Linked DNA regions of Tamandua tetradactyla. The protein of the gene in region 2 purifies or fractionates together with the protein of the main gene of each other region. This does not show direct contact. Links are inferred from orthologs where the notes say so. Each region holds a gene or a part of one and is shown on either strand. Other genes may lie near its edges. The genes, in order: ZC3HAV1, LIN28A and ZCCHC3.

Region 1 (3,820 bases), on a different chromosome or scaffold from region 2:
TAATCAATGCTTTTCTTATATTTTTAATGTTCTTTTCAAGCCTTCCCACACATAAGCTCCTTAAGTGAAGGGACTATTTCTTAAAGTTACACATTTTCAGAATGACTAACTAATGTAAGGGCCACATAAAAGATACTCAATAAATATGTTAAATTTAATTGATTTGGCAATGAAAGCCCAGTACCTGAGAACCTGTCAAACCACAATTATGGCCAAGTGGATGAAAGACAAGTGTGGAAGCAGTAGCCAGAAGGCACAGGAAATCAGATGGCACAGACCTGCAGTTCTGTGTGAATCCCACCATTGTTTTTTTTTTTTATCCCATTAGCGATTTCGAAGAATTTCTAATTTGGTAACCACATTCTATTTTTTTTTTTTAAAGATTTATTTCCTATCTGATAAATGCCCAATTTATTCTACCTGAAGGGGAAGGTCTTGTCGAAATATCTAAAAGGGGGACACAGATTTGAAATCTTGGGATGTGTACCTGTGATTTCTTGTGAAGAAGAAGCAATGTCTGGGGCATCTCTGTTAGTGATTATAGGCAGAAAAGAAGGGGTCTAAAAGAGTTTCTTCAAAAAGTTTGTGGGAAAACAAAAACGGAGAGTCATAATCGCTGTTCTTTAAGGGGTCATCGTGATGGAAGAAAAGTGCGCGTTGGTCCTGGATTCCGCGGACCTCGATCTGGTACACGGCGGCCAGATTTTGGGAACCTCGGGGGGCACCCGCATTCCAGCTTGGTAGTGGTGCACCTCTGCTCAAGTTACTTTCTCAATTACTGAGTGATGATGATAATATCGACTCCGTGGAGCCTTGTAAATTCCACGAAACTTAGAAAACTAAAATACACCAGGAGAGCGCCCAGCTCGGAGGAAGTACTCTAGGGTCGGTTCTTTCCAAGGATGGGTGAGGTAGGAGATTTCGAGAGGACTCCTCAAGAGGGCTCTCAAGACTCGCGTCACTTGCCACTTAGTCTGACTTATAAAAACGCTCCCAGAGCCCAGAGATAATTTTTAGTTTCTCTTCTTTCCGAAAAAGCCCCGCGGCGATTATCTGGGAAACCCCATCTTCGCCTAGTTTAGAACCAAGAGTTCTCCGCGCTTGTTCACTTTCCAGGTTTTCCCATCGGCGTTAGAGTTCAAATCTGACACAAGGACTAGAGGGTGATATCTGGCTTCTCCGTCTAAGAGCCGAGTTGGAAACCGAAACCGATGGGTTTAGCTAACGGAGGAAGAGAGCGCGCGCTCGCCCTGGGCGCGTCCAGCGGAGCACCGCCCGCTCCCGTCCCCGCCCCGCGGACACTTGTAAGTTTCGATTCTACGCAAGCTGAGTTCGTCGCACTCGGCTAGGCCAGGCAGCGCGCCATGGCGGACCCCGAGGTGTGCTGTTTCATCACCAAAATCCTGTGCGCTCATGGGGGTCGCATGGCCCTGGACAAGCTGCTTGAGGAAATCGCGCTGTCCGAGGCGCAACTCTGCGAGGTGCTGGAGGTGGCCGGGCCCGACCGCTTCGTGGTGTTGGAGACTGGCGGCAAGGCCGAGGTCAGCCGGTCGGTGGTGGCCACCACTCGAGCCCGGGTCTGCCGTCGTAAGTTCTGCAACAGACCCTGCGAAAACCTGCACCTCTGCAAGCTCAACCTGCTAGGCCGGTGCAGCTATTCTTATGTGGATCGGTGAGTGCACAGAAAAAGGGGAGGCACCCCCTCGGCTGTGGTGGGGAAAGATGGTCGGGGCTGCTGCTTCGGGAGGGGCGCCCCTCACCGGGTTCCCTCACCCGACAGCATCTTTCTCCAGCCTCTTATTTCTTTGCTCCCTTTGGAGAGCCCCTGCTTCTAACCCTGGCGGTCCCCATCCCCCTGGTGCCTCAAGATCTTTCCTCGAATATGGCTAACGCCACACTGCCCAAGCGGAGACTGCGTTTACCCATCCCCATAAGAATAAAGTGCTTTTTGGGCAAGCCGATCCTGGTGATGTTGAAGGCAGGTTTGGGAATGAAGAAAAATGCCTTTGTTCTCTGGATTCTTCAGTCCTTCTCTTTCCGCTACCTTCGATCCTAGAATTGTTGGCGGGGTTCCCGGCACCAAAGCCGCACTCGGGGTTCTCCATCGGACTCCATCGCAGCGAGCGGCTGGTCTCTGCTTGACCCTCCAATCTTGGTTGTCTCCGTACCTCCCAGTATCACTTCTCTACAGTCTGGCTCCAGTCCACACCATCTGACCCTCCTTTAGGTTACCTGTAATAAAGTCCCTGAGCACTTTCCCGCTTGTGTCTTTGCAGTGGCCCGCCCGGGACCACTGACTTAAAATGGTCGTTTAAAATGGTACAGCTTACTGCTTAGGAGCTACTTCTGTGTCTCCACTTGCTCTTTTCTGCTCTCTCAATATAGGTGCGCCCCAAGGTTTGGGTTGAGCCTTTTGATTAGATTATCTCGCAAGTTTCCCACTAAAAGAGCTCACTCGTTGGCTCAGCTACCTGAGCTACAAAGATGGCTTCCCAGCATACACCCCCTGCTCAGGCTTGCCTACTGAGTTCATATCTTCATATCTCAGTGTCTCGGGAACAGCAGTCTCCGAGTACACTTGGTTAAACTCATGGTCTTTCCCCCAGACAGGGTTTTTGACACTCCCTTCCACCTTTTCTTCATATTTTTCCCTCTTCGCAATTCATTCGCTCTTTCTGTGAAGTCTCACATACCTATCTCCTGTCCAGTTCCTCTTTTCCATCGCACTTCCCAGTGCATTCATTATTGAATTAAATTGACGGTCTCAGTAGCCACAGTGGTTTCCCCCATCTGTTCTGCCTCTGTTTACTTCTGTACATGGCATGTACCTGATATGGCATGTCTTACAGTATTGCCCTCCTTAAAGACCTTAAGTGGTGACTTGTCTAAAATGGTGGCCATCTAACTGATCCCATACTTCTTATTAGCAAAAAACTTTAGATCACTCACCTTCTGATATATGTGTAATATAAATGTAGAGAAGACACATGCTTTAAATGGATGAGACGGATAATATTTTTTAAAAAGGTATTTGTTTATAGCAAAAAACCTTTTTGCCCATTCTAAAATTTAAAAAAGGTGTTTGAATAAGAGTGCTTATTTTAAAAATATTTGTTTAGTACCTTGTGAGGTAACTATTTGAACGCCTCTTTCTGAGATCCTGAAGATACGTGTGACTTACAGAGGAAGTCATCTGAGTCGGGGGTGGAAGAAACCACTGAGGAAAGAAGGAAAGACTGGAGAATAGAAAAGGAAACACTATATATTCTAGCACTGTATTGAATAGCAGTGGGATTAGAAGATTATCTTTTTTCTGTTAAAGTGAATGATGAGAAATTCCTTACCAGCTAATGGTGGCTTTTACTTTTAAATACATATGCTTTTATCTTTTGACTATTTAGTATAGATATTTTCAATGTACACAAAAGTAGAGAAGAGAGTATGATGAACCCCCCAGCCATCCTTTGATTTCAAAAGTTTTCAAAATATGGCCGATCTTGTTTCATTTATTCTCTCTTCTCATCCCTGCTCTTCACTCCAATGAATTATTTTAAAGCAAATCCCAGGCATCATTGCATTCATAAATAATGAATACCTCTAAAAGTTACACGCTTTTATTAAAATAACTACTATCCAATTTTCATTTATAAGGTTACAATAATTCCTTAATGTCATCTAATATCCAGTTGGCATTAAAATTTCCCTGATTATTTTATAAATCAGACTTGCATTTTCAGGGAAAAAAACATAAGCAGGTACAGTCCTTAATTGTTGCAATATTACACACAATAATATATTTGGACAACTTAGTTTGGTTTTA
Region 2 (3,600 bases):
GATGCCATCTGAGAAGTTTCCGATTATTCTATCCTAAGGTTAAGTCTATGGAGGCAGATCCCCACCTGCCCAGGAAAACCTTCCTCGGGATTTTTATATCACTAAGGAACCCCAAAACACAAGGGCACACCTTTCCTTCAACCCCGCCCTATTTAGGAGACTAGAAAATGTTGGGTCTGACTCTTATTCCAGCCTCCCAAAATTGGGGAAGCTGTCCAGTCAGTCTCTAGACCAGGAGAGATTTTAATCTCTGTGATCAAAGGAGAGAGTGGGGGAGGCTGGACACCCCGCTGAGGAGGGCCATTCAAAGCTGGTTCCTGTAATAAAGTGATTTAATGGATCTAAAGAGGCCAATTCCCTTCTTTCTCCCACAATTACTTCCTGTGGGTTATCATTCACATATGTAAATGAGGGAGGGGGGCAAAGCCACCAGCTTCAAGCTAGATGTCTGAAGTGGGGTGGGGGGGAAGGCAAGCATCCTGCAGTAGGCCATATTGGCAGATGGCCCACAGTCCCAATGTCAACCGATGGGTCCCCAATTCCCTACATCCTCCTCCCCTGGTACCCCATTCATCCTCAACTTCCTTGCTGCGGGACAAGCTTGAGGACTTCCCTGTCTCCAACTACCAGTCCACCCTGCATCGCCCTTCCCTGCCCTTCCCCCTCCAGGATACCCTCCCTCAGGCCCCAACCCTTAATCCCCACATCCTCCTTTCCCCTCCCCCACAGCTCCTCGGGCCAGCCTCCCTGCAGTAACCCCTCTCTGCCCGGCCTGTGTCAACCTTCAGGGCCTGGGATTAGAAATCTTCCAGGTCCATTCCCACACCTCCCAGAGTGGAAGAGACTCAGGCAACCACTTCCTTTCCATGGTTATTATGGGTGGCTAGTGTCCCAGGACCACCGGAAATGCTGCGATATCCTGGAAGGGGTGAGAGGAAAGGAGTCCAGGAAGGAGGAGGGGGACCCTGAAGCCTCTGGCTCCTTGTTGGAAGCCAGGAATTTTAGGACAGCAATCAGCGGCTGTCTAGGGCCATAAACACCAAGCAGAGACTAGGTCCCGAGGCCAGCCTCCCTCCAACCTCTGCCCTGAGACACTGAATTCCACCCCGACCGCGTCCCATTCTACTGCGTTAACTGAGCACTTGGGGTTGCAACCCAGCTCTCAGCCTGGGCCAAGAATCCAGGTCTTCTTAGGTTTTCCTTCCTGGTAGGAACTCTACAGGAAAGCTGCCAGTCCCTGAAGAGTGTGAGTGAAACCCGCCTTATGACCTTGCAAGCTCCTAAGTGGATCCTTCAGTGATCTGCCAAGCCCACCCTGACCCAGGGCTTGAGTTCTGAGTGAACACCTATGGATGGGGTGCATCAAACAGGGACCTGCCTTCTCAACCCCAGCCAGCTGGGTATGGGAATAGGTTTCCTCCTCTCCCTCTGGCCCTCCCAGTTCCATTCAGTCGTTACTGAAAGGCTCTGGGCGCCGAGTTCCTGGTTTCCGCCCAGCATGTGCTTGCTTCCCTGGCGAGTCCCCTCGCCCTCCCCCCGCCAGCAAGCACAATACAACCTTACTTTCTGCCACATGGGGTCACTTCCCTGCCCCCTTCCCAGGGGAAAGAGGTAACAGACACGTGGTGAGCTGGAGGGGTTCCCGGAAGGACGCGAGGGGAGCTCATACTTGCCGCTGCTCCCCACCCGGCCCCGGTGGCGTTATCAGGGACTCAGAAGTGGGGTGCCACGGCAAAGATGAGGGTCCGCAACGAAGAAACTTGGGTCTCCCTCAATCCAAGTGCGGAGTTCGCCCATCCACCCAGAAATATAGGACCCCCACTTCAGCGCCCCCGGCGAAGTTACCAGACTGAGTCTCACCTGATGCACAAAGACGTCCACTGGGGGGTCGAGCGCGACCCCGGCGCGGGCGGTCATCGACAGGAAACCGAACCCCATGCGCACGTTGAACCACTTACAGATGCCGGCCCCCTGCAGCAGCTGCGGCTCCTCCGCCTCCCCGGCCGCGTTCTCCGGGGCCTCCTCGGCCGCCTTGGTGCAGCCACCTGGAGATGGGGAAGGAGACCGGCCCTCAGTTGGGGAGCTCGGAATCGGAGGGCGCCCACAGAGACCCGGCAGGGAGACCCAAATGCCCAACCTACGGGTGGACATCAGGAGCCTGCAGCTACCAAGCTACCAAGACCTGTCCCGGCCGCCTCCAAGCGCTCCCCAAACCTATACCGAGACCCGTGGTGCCCCGAAAGTTTTGCTCCTCTTCTCACAACACGTTGCCCTTGGACAGACGGCTGGACAGTCCCCTCCTCTCTTCCTCCCACGCCCGCACAGCACTGGCGAGCAAGCCGCTGGGACACCAGGGTCCTAGCTCTATTCATGGCCCTTGAAGCAGAAGGCCGCGCGGACTTGGGAGTCCTTCGGGCAGCCTGGAGGGACACTTCCCCATCTTCCTTCTAGGTGGCTCCTGGGCACCCCCGCAGCCTAAGCTGTTCCCGCTAAGTCCCAAGCTCGAACCTGCAAACTGCTGGTTGGACACGGAGCCCATGGTCGTCGCCTGAGCCCGCGGCCCCGGGCCCCTGGTCGGGCGGCTGCTGGCCCCAGAGAAGTCCGGAGGCAAAGGGGTGGTTCGGAGAAGAGGCAGCTACATCTTCCCCGGCACAATAGCGGTGGGAGGGCCCACGGCTTTTCAAAGGCTCCCAAATTCTAAAAGACAATGACCCAACCCCCCGCGGGCAACCCCTTCCCCTCCCCTCCTCTTCTTTCCCCTCCCTTTCCCTCTGGCTCCGAGCAGCTCCGTCCCTCCCCCCACCGCTCTGGTCTCTGACATCTCTGGGGTGTCCCTGTTCAGAACCTAGAGGTTTGACACCCCCCTTCCCATACACATATCTGGAAATGGGGGCCGTCTTGCCCAAGAAGTCTTGGGTACCCCTCAATTTGTAGTTGTGCACTTTAAAGCCTCATTGGGGGTCCCCAAAGCAGCATACAGGTGGGGGATCTGGGGGGGGTACTTTTAAAACCACGTGACTGCTCCCACACACACTCACATACCACCCCCACCCCCTACGCAGATAATTATACATTCCAGAGAGTTGGGGGAGGGAGGTGTGAGCCTGGCAGCACTGGCCAATCAGAAACACAAACCACCTGTCAAGGGAGAAATGGATGAGCCCTCCCCCTCCCCCAGCCACTGAATGCCCCTCCCCCTCTCTTCTCCCCTCAGGCCTCTGAGCTGACCCGGCTGCTTGGCGATGACCCGCTCTCATCCCCCACCCCCGTGTGCTTAGATAGACCTGGAGTTTGGGACACTGGGAAGCCTGGGGAGGAGGAGCAGGGGGAGATTGGAGACTGGGCAGAGTTGATCTTCAGTCCTTACTCTCAAAATCTCTCTGTCTCTGACAGAAATTGAATGTGTCTCTCTCCCTGAGTTTTCCACTCAAGACTTTTTCTCAATCTCTCCCTAATAGAAGGGAGAAGGTGCTCCTAATTGATTCAACATAAAGAATCATCCCTTTTTCCCTTCCTTCCAAAATGTCTAAAGTTGGCCCCAAATAGCACTCTATGCAAGAGCAGGAGGACCCCAAAGAGGCTTGAAGTGTGCTTCTCTCT
Region 3 (3,820 bases), on a different chromosome or scaffold from region 2:
CCCCTGTTAAATCTCTTTCTGCTCCCCTCACCCAGATTTCTTGGCATTCCTCTGGGCTCACTATTCCGGAGAGATCTGACTTTCTGGGCCCTCAAGTAGTGAGGAAAATGTCGTGAAGTGTGAGAGGTAGTGGGATGAGCACCCGGCTTGGGGTCAGGGACCTTGACTCTAGGCTCAGCTCTGTCACCAACCAGCAATGTGATTCTGACCCAGTCACCTAACCTCTCTGGGCCTGTTTCATCTGACAGACAACCAGGGAGTCCATCTAAACTAATTCCCAGGTCCTTTCCAGCAGGAAACTTCTAGAGCCCATGAATCTATGTAAAATGGCTTCTGAGCCACTGAAAAAGATCTCACAAAGTCCATACATTTTTATGCCATAAGAAAGGCCCTTGGCCACCATTCAGAGCTTATTGACTCAGATTACATATACTTCTAACAACACTGGTTTCACAAATTCTCAGACCACATAGATTAGAAGCAGCAAATCAAAAGGGGAAGAGCTGCAAAAGTACACACCATGACAGAAGCCACAGCCAACACTGTTTTCAACTCAACAAGCCCTGTCGGAGTGCCTACGGTGCTGGGTAGGCTCCGTACTTAAGTGTTGGGGCATAAAGATGAACAAGGCAGCCCAAAAGGTGAAAATCGAAGGAGAAGACAAGGTTTGGGGTGGGGGAGTAAAAAGTAAAAATAAAAAAATCCCAAATACAAAAACGAAAACAAAGTAAAAAAGGGAGGGTGACATATCTGCACATTACAGTTCTCGGTAGTCTTTACTGATGAGAGCCACCAATTCAGAAAAGGCTGAAATGGAGTAAACTCGGTTTAAGAAGGCAAAGAGAGATGTCTTTTGTAAGTTTTAAAAAGATATCCTTCAAAAATGATAAAAAAACGGTTTAAAAAAAAGTTTTGGCACTTAGAGGGGGTAAACTAGCGGTGCGTTCACCCCAGCAGGCAGGCGGGTGTTCAGTGCCCGGCCACGCCGGTGAGCTGAGCTGCCACGGAATTATGAACCGCTTTGGGACACTGGGCAAAGGCGTGTCCTCGCTTGCCACAGAGGTTGCACACGATGCCCTTCCGGCAGTAAGGGCTCAGGTGCCCCTCCTCCCCGCACCTGAAACACCTGTCCTGCGTGCAGCTCCCGCTCATGTGGGTCCGGGAACCACATTTAAAGCATGTCTTGGGCTGCCCCTTGTACCAGCTGTAGCCCCTCTCGGCCCCCAGGAAGAAGGCCCCCGGCAGGTGTCTGACCCCGCCCTCCCCCTGGCGCAGCTCGATCTCGCACTTGTACTCCCCGGTCCAGATCCCAAACCTGTCGGTCACTTTCACGGGCACGGCGAGCACGTCGCAGTGGCGCTTGAGCCAGGTCACGATATCCTCCACGTCCACCGTCTCGTTCCGGAAGAGGATGAAGAGCGTCTTCAAGCTGGACTTGCTCCGCCCCAGCACCACAAAGTTCTCCCAGCAGTCCTCCTGCTCGCGTTTCTCCTCGTAGACGCGCAAGAACAAGGCCAGCTTCTCCGCCGAGCGGAAGCTCACGTCGAACTCGCGGCTCCCCGGAATCTGGATGACTGCGTAGATGTCGCCGGGGTCCATGCCGATGGAACGCAGAATGAGCGCGCCCACCACGAAGTCCCGGGTCGGACAAGCGCCCTCGTCACCCTGGAAGCAGATGCGCACGAGGAAGCGACCCTTGCCCGGGGCCGCCGCGGGGCTGGGGGCCGCTTCCGGCTGATCCTGGTGGGGCCGCTCGGCCGCGTCTTCGGCCACGCCGGGCCTGGTAGGGGCCGCCATGGCCGCCGTGTCGGCTTTCTTCCTCCTGCTCGCCTCAGCTGCGCCTTTCTTCTTGCGGGGGTCCGCCGCCTCGCCGGTGGGATCTCTCCGGCGGCCCTTCGGGTCCCCGCGACCCGCCGGGGGAAAGTCGCTGAGGCCCGGGGCCGCCACGCCCGCCGAGGCGCCAAGCCCGCCGCTCGCGCCGCTCGCGCCGCCGCCACTTTCCTCCTCCCGCCGCGGCGGCCGCTGCTCGCGGAACTCGCCCTTCTTCTCCGCCAGGTTCTTCACCACTTGGGCCCAGCCCATTTTCTCGCGGCCGCTCTCGGACTCCTCGCCCCGGGCCGCTGGTCGCACTGCGGGCAGGAGCTGCGGTCGCCCCCGCTTCTTCTCCTCCTCAGAGCCGCCGCCGGTGGCCATTTTACCTCCTTCCCAGCATCCTCCACTCGCTCCCGCTGCCTAAGAGTGCCCATCGCGCGCGCCCGCCGGGGCTGTGGGGGGTTTTTTGTTTTTTTTTTTCTCTTTTTGAAATCCGACGCTTCTCTCCCCCGCCCCCAACCCCAAAGGTATTTACATGAGGCGCATATTGGCCCGAGCCGGCCTTGAGCCCCTTGGTAACGGCTGAGCCACGTTTCCGCAGCTCGCGCTCCAACCCCACCTCTTCTGTGCGGAAGCGGGCTGGGGAGTTTGGAGGCTCGTCCTTTCTTCCGCGCGGGTTTGGCAGTCTCGGGCCTCGCTCTCGAGGATTTGTTATTTCGCAAGCGATCCTCGATGATTTCATTCGAGCAGCATTACTAACGGCCCACAGCCTAAAGGCGGGACAGAGTCGAGGCAGATCTCGCCCATTTTGTTTTCTTTGTACCTCTTGTGTTGAAACCTGTCTCTCTCCCCACAGAGCGTAACGTAATGCATTATTTTCTCCAGTGTTGGCTTCATGAACATTTGCAAACATATAGAAAAGTTCAAAGAATTTTGCAGCGAACATTTCACCGTTTGCTTTTTTTTAGCATTTTAACTTTTTATCAGAATTTTACTATACTTATCGCACATCTATCCATATCATTAATTATTCATCAGTTCTTATTTTTTATACATTTCCAAGTTCGTCAATAGTACATTAAAAATATATTTTTACTGATAAATCTTCATGCATAAACAGTTCGTACATGGTATACAATCAGTGGTCATATTGCATTTTTAATATTGCATTTATATTTTATAAAATGTCTATATCGTACTAATAATTATATTGAGTGCTTTTTAAGAACTTGGTAATATGCACACTGCAAGCTTTATCACTTGGAATCTTACAAAATGATGCTGTACCCATTTTACAGATAAAAAGTCAAGAGTTTGGAAATGGATTACTCCACTTGTCCAAGGCAGGTTAATAGGCAACCCCAGGGCCTCATCTGTAGGTTGCTTATCTTTCCTCAACCACTTTGCTCCTGAAATTGAGGATTAAGAACTATCAATATCAGACTTTTCAGGAAACCTTGGTAAAAAGCAGATTTCAAGGATAAAATCAGCACTGCGGAGCCTCTTTATTCCTCCCCCATTTGTTGCAATTTTTATTTGCGGATGTTGGATAGTTTTGAGATGAGTTTCTTTTTTTCTTTTTTTTTGTCAGATAAGTTCAATATCACTCCTATATGGTTTATTTTCTTTACCCTTATCTGCGTGTCTTTGGGGATCCTTCAGTCACTTTTCCATGTTCCGTGAAAAAAAAAAGGTGGGTTCCAGAAACAAGAAGACCCAAAGTTGAGTTTAGCTGCTTCAAATCGCAGCCCTGACACACTGGGTCGTAGCCTCAGCTTGCTTATCATTATCAAAGGGACATTAATACCCACTCTTAGAGGAAGATAAAGGGGTTTAAAGAGATAACTTGTGCCAAAGAGCTTGATCCAGAGTAGGTTCCTGGGAAAGTTCCTATTTTCTATGGATTCTTTCCTATTTCTCTCTCACATCTTCTAGTTCTATTTACTGAGCATTTTGGAGAAAGATGTCCTTGCGAGTTCCAGGTTCACGATCTTTTCCTTCACTTCAA

What was found.
Region 1: the proteins of LIN28A (region 2) and ZC3HAV1 purify together in Homo sapiens (affinity purification with mass spectrometry; 3 studies listed by BioGRID and IntAct, with this or other methods). This does not show direct contact. The link is inferred for Tamandua tetradactyla from reciprocal best matches to the Homo sapiens genes LIN28A and ZC3HAV1.
Region 3: the proteins of LIN28A (region 2) and ZCCHC3 purify together in Homo sapiens (co-immunoprecipitation; 3 studies listed by BioGRID and IntAct, with this or other methods). This does not show direct contact. The link is inferred for Tamandua tetradactyla from reciprocal best matches to the Homo sapiens genes LIN28A and ZCCHC3.

Annotation. Positions count from the first base shown.
Region 1 is NC_135327.1:182,163,419-182,167,238, reverse strand, and holds the start of ZC3HAV1 (zinc finger CCCH-type antiviral protein 1), read left to right. Parts: upstream 1-1,034; 5' UTR 1,035-1,364; coding exon 1,365-1,672; intron 1,673-3,820.
Region 2 is NC_135328.1:199,797,130-199,800,729, forward strand, and holds the start of LIN28A (protein lin-28 homolog A), read right to left. Parts: upstream 2,672-3,600; 5' UTR 2,540-2,671; coding exon 2,509-2,539; intron 2,046-2,508; coding exon 1,861-2,045; intron 1-1,860. UniProt on the Homo sapiens protein: RNA-binding protein that inhibits processing of pre-let-7 miRNAs and regulates translation of mRNAs that control developmental timing, pluripotency and metabolism.
Region 3 is NC_135327.1:22,186,853-22,190,672, reverse strand, and holds the start of ZCCHC3 (zinc finger CCHC domain-containing protein 3), read right to left. Parts: upstream 2,476-3,820; 5' UTR 2,194-2,475; coding exon 970-2,193; 3' UTR 1-969.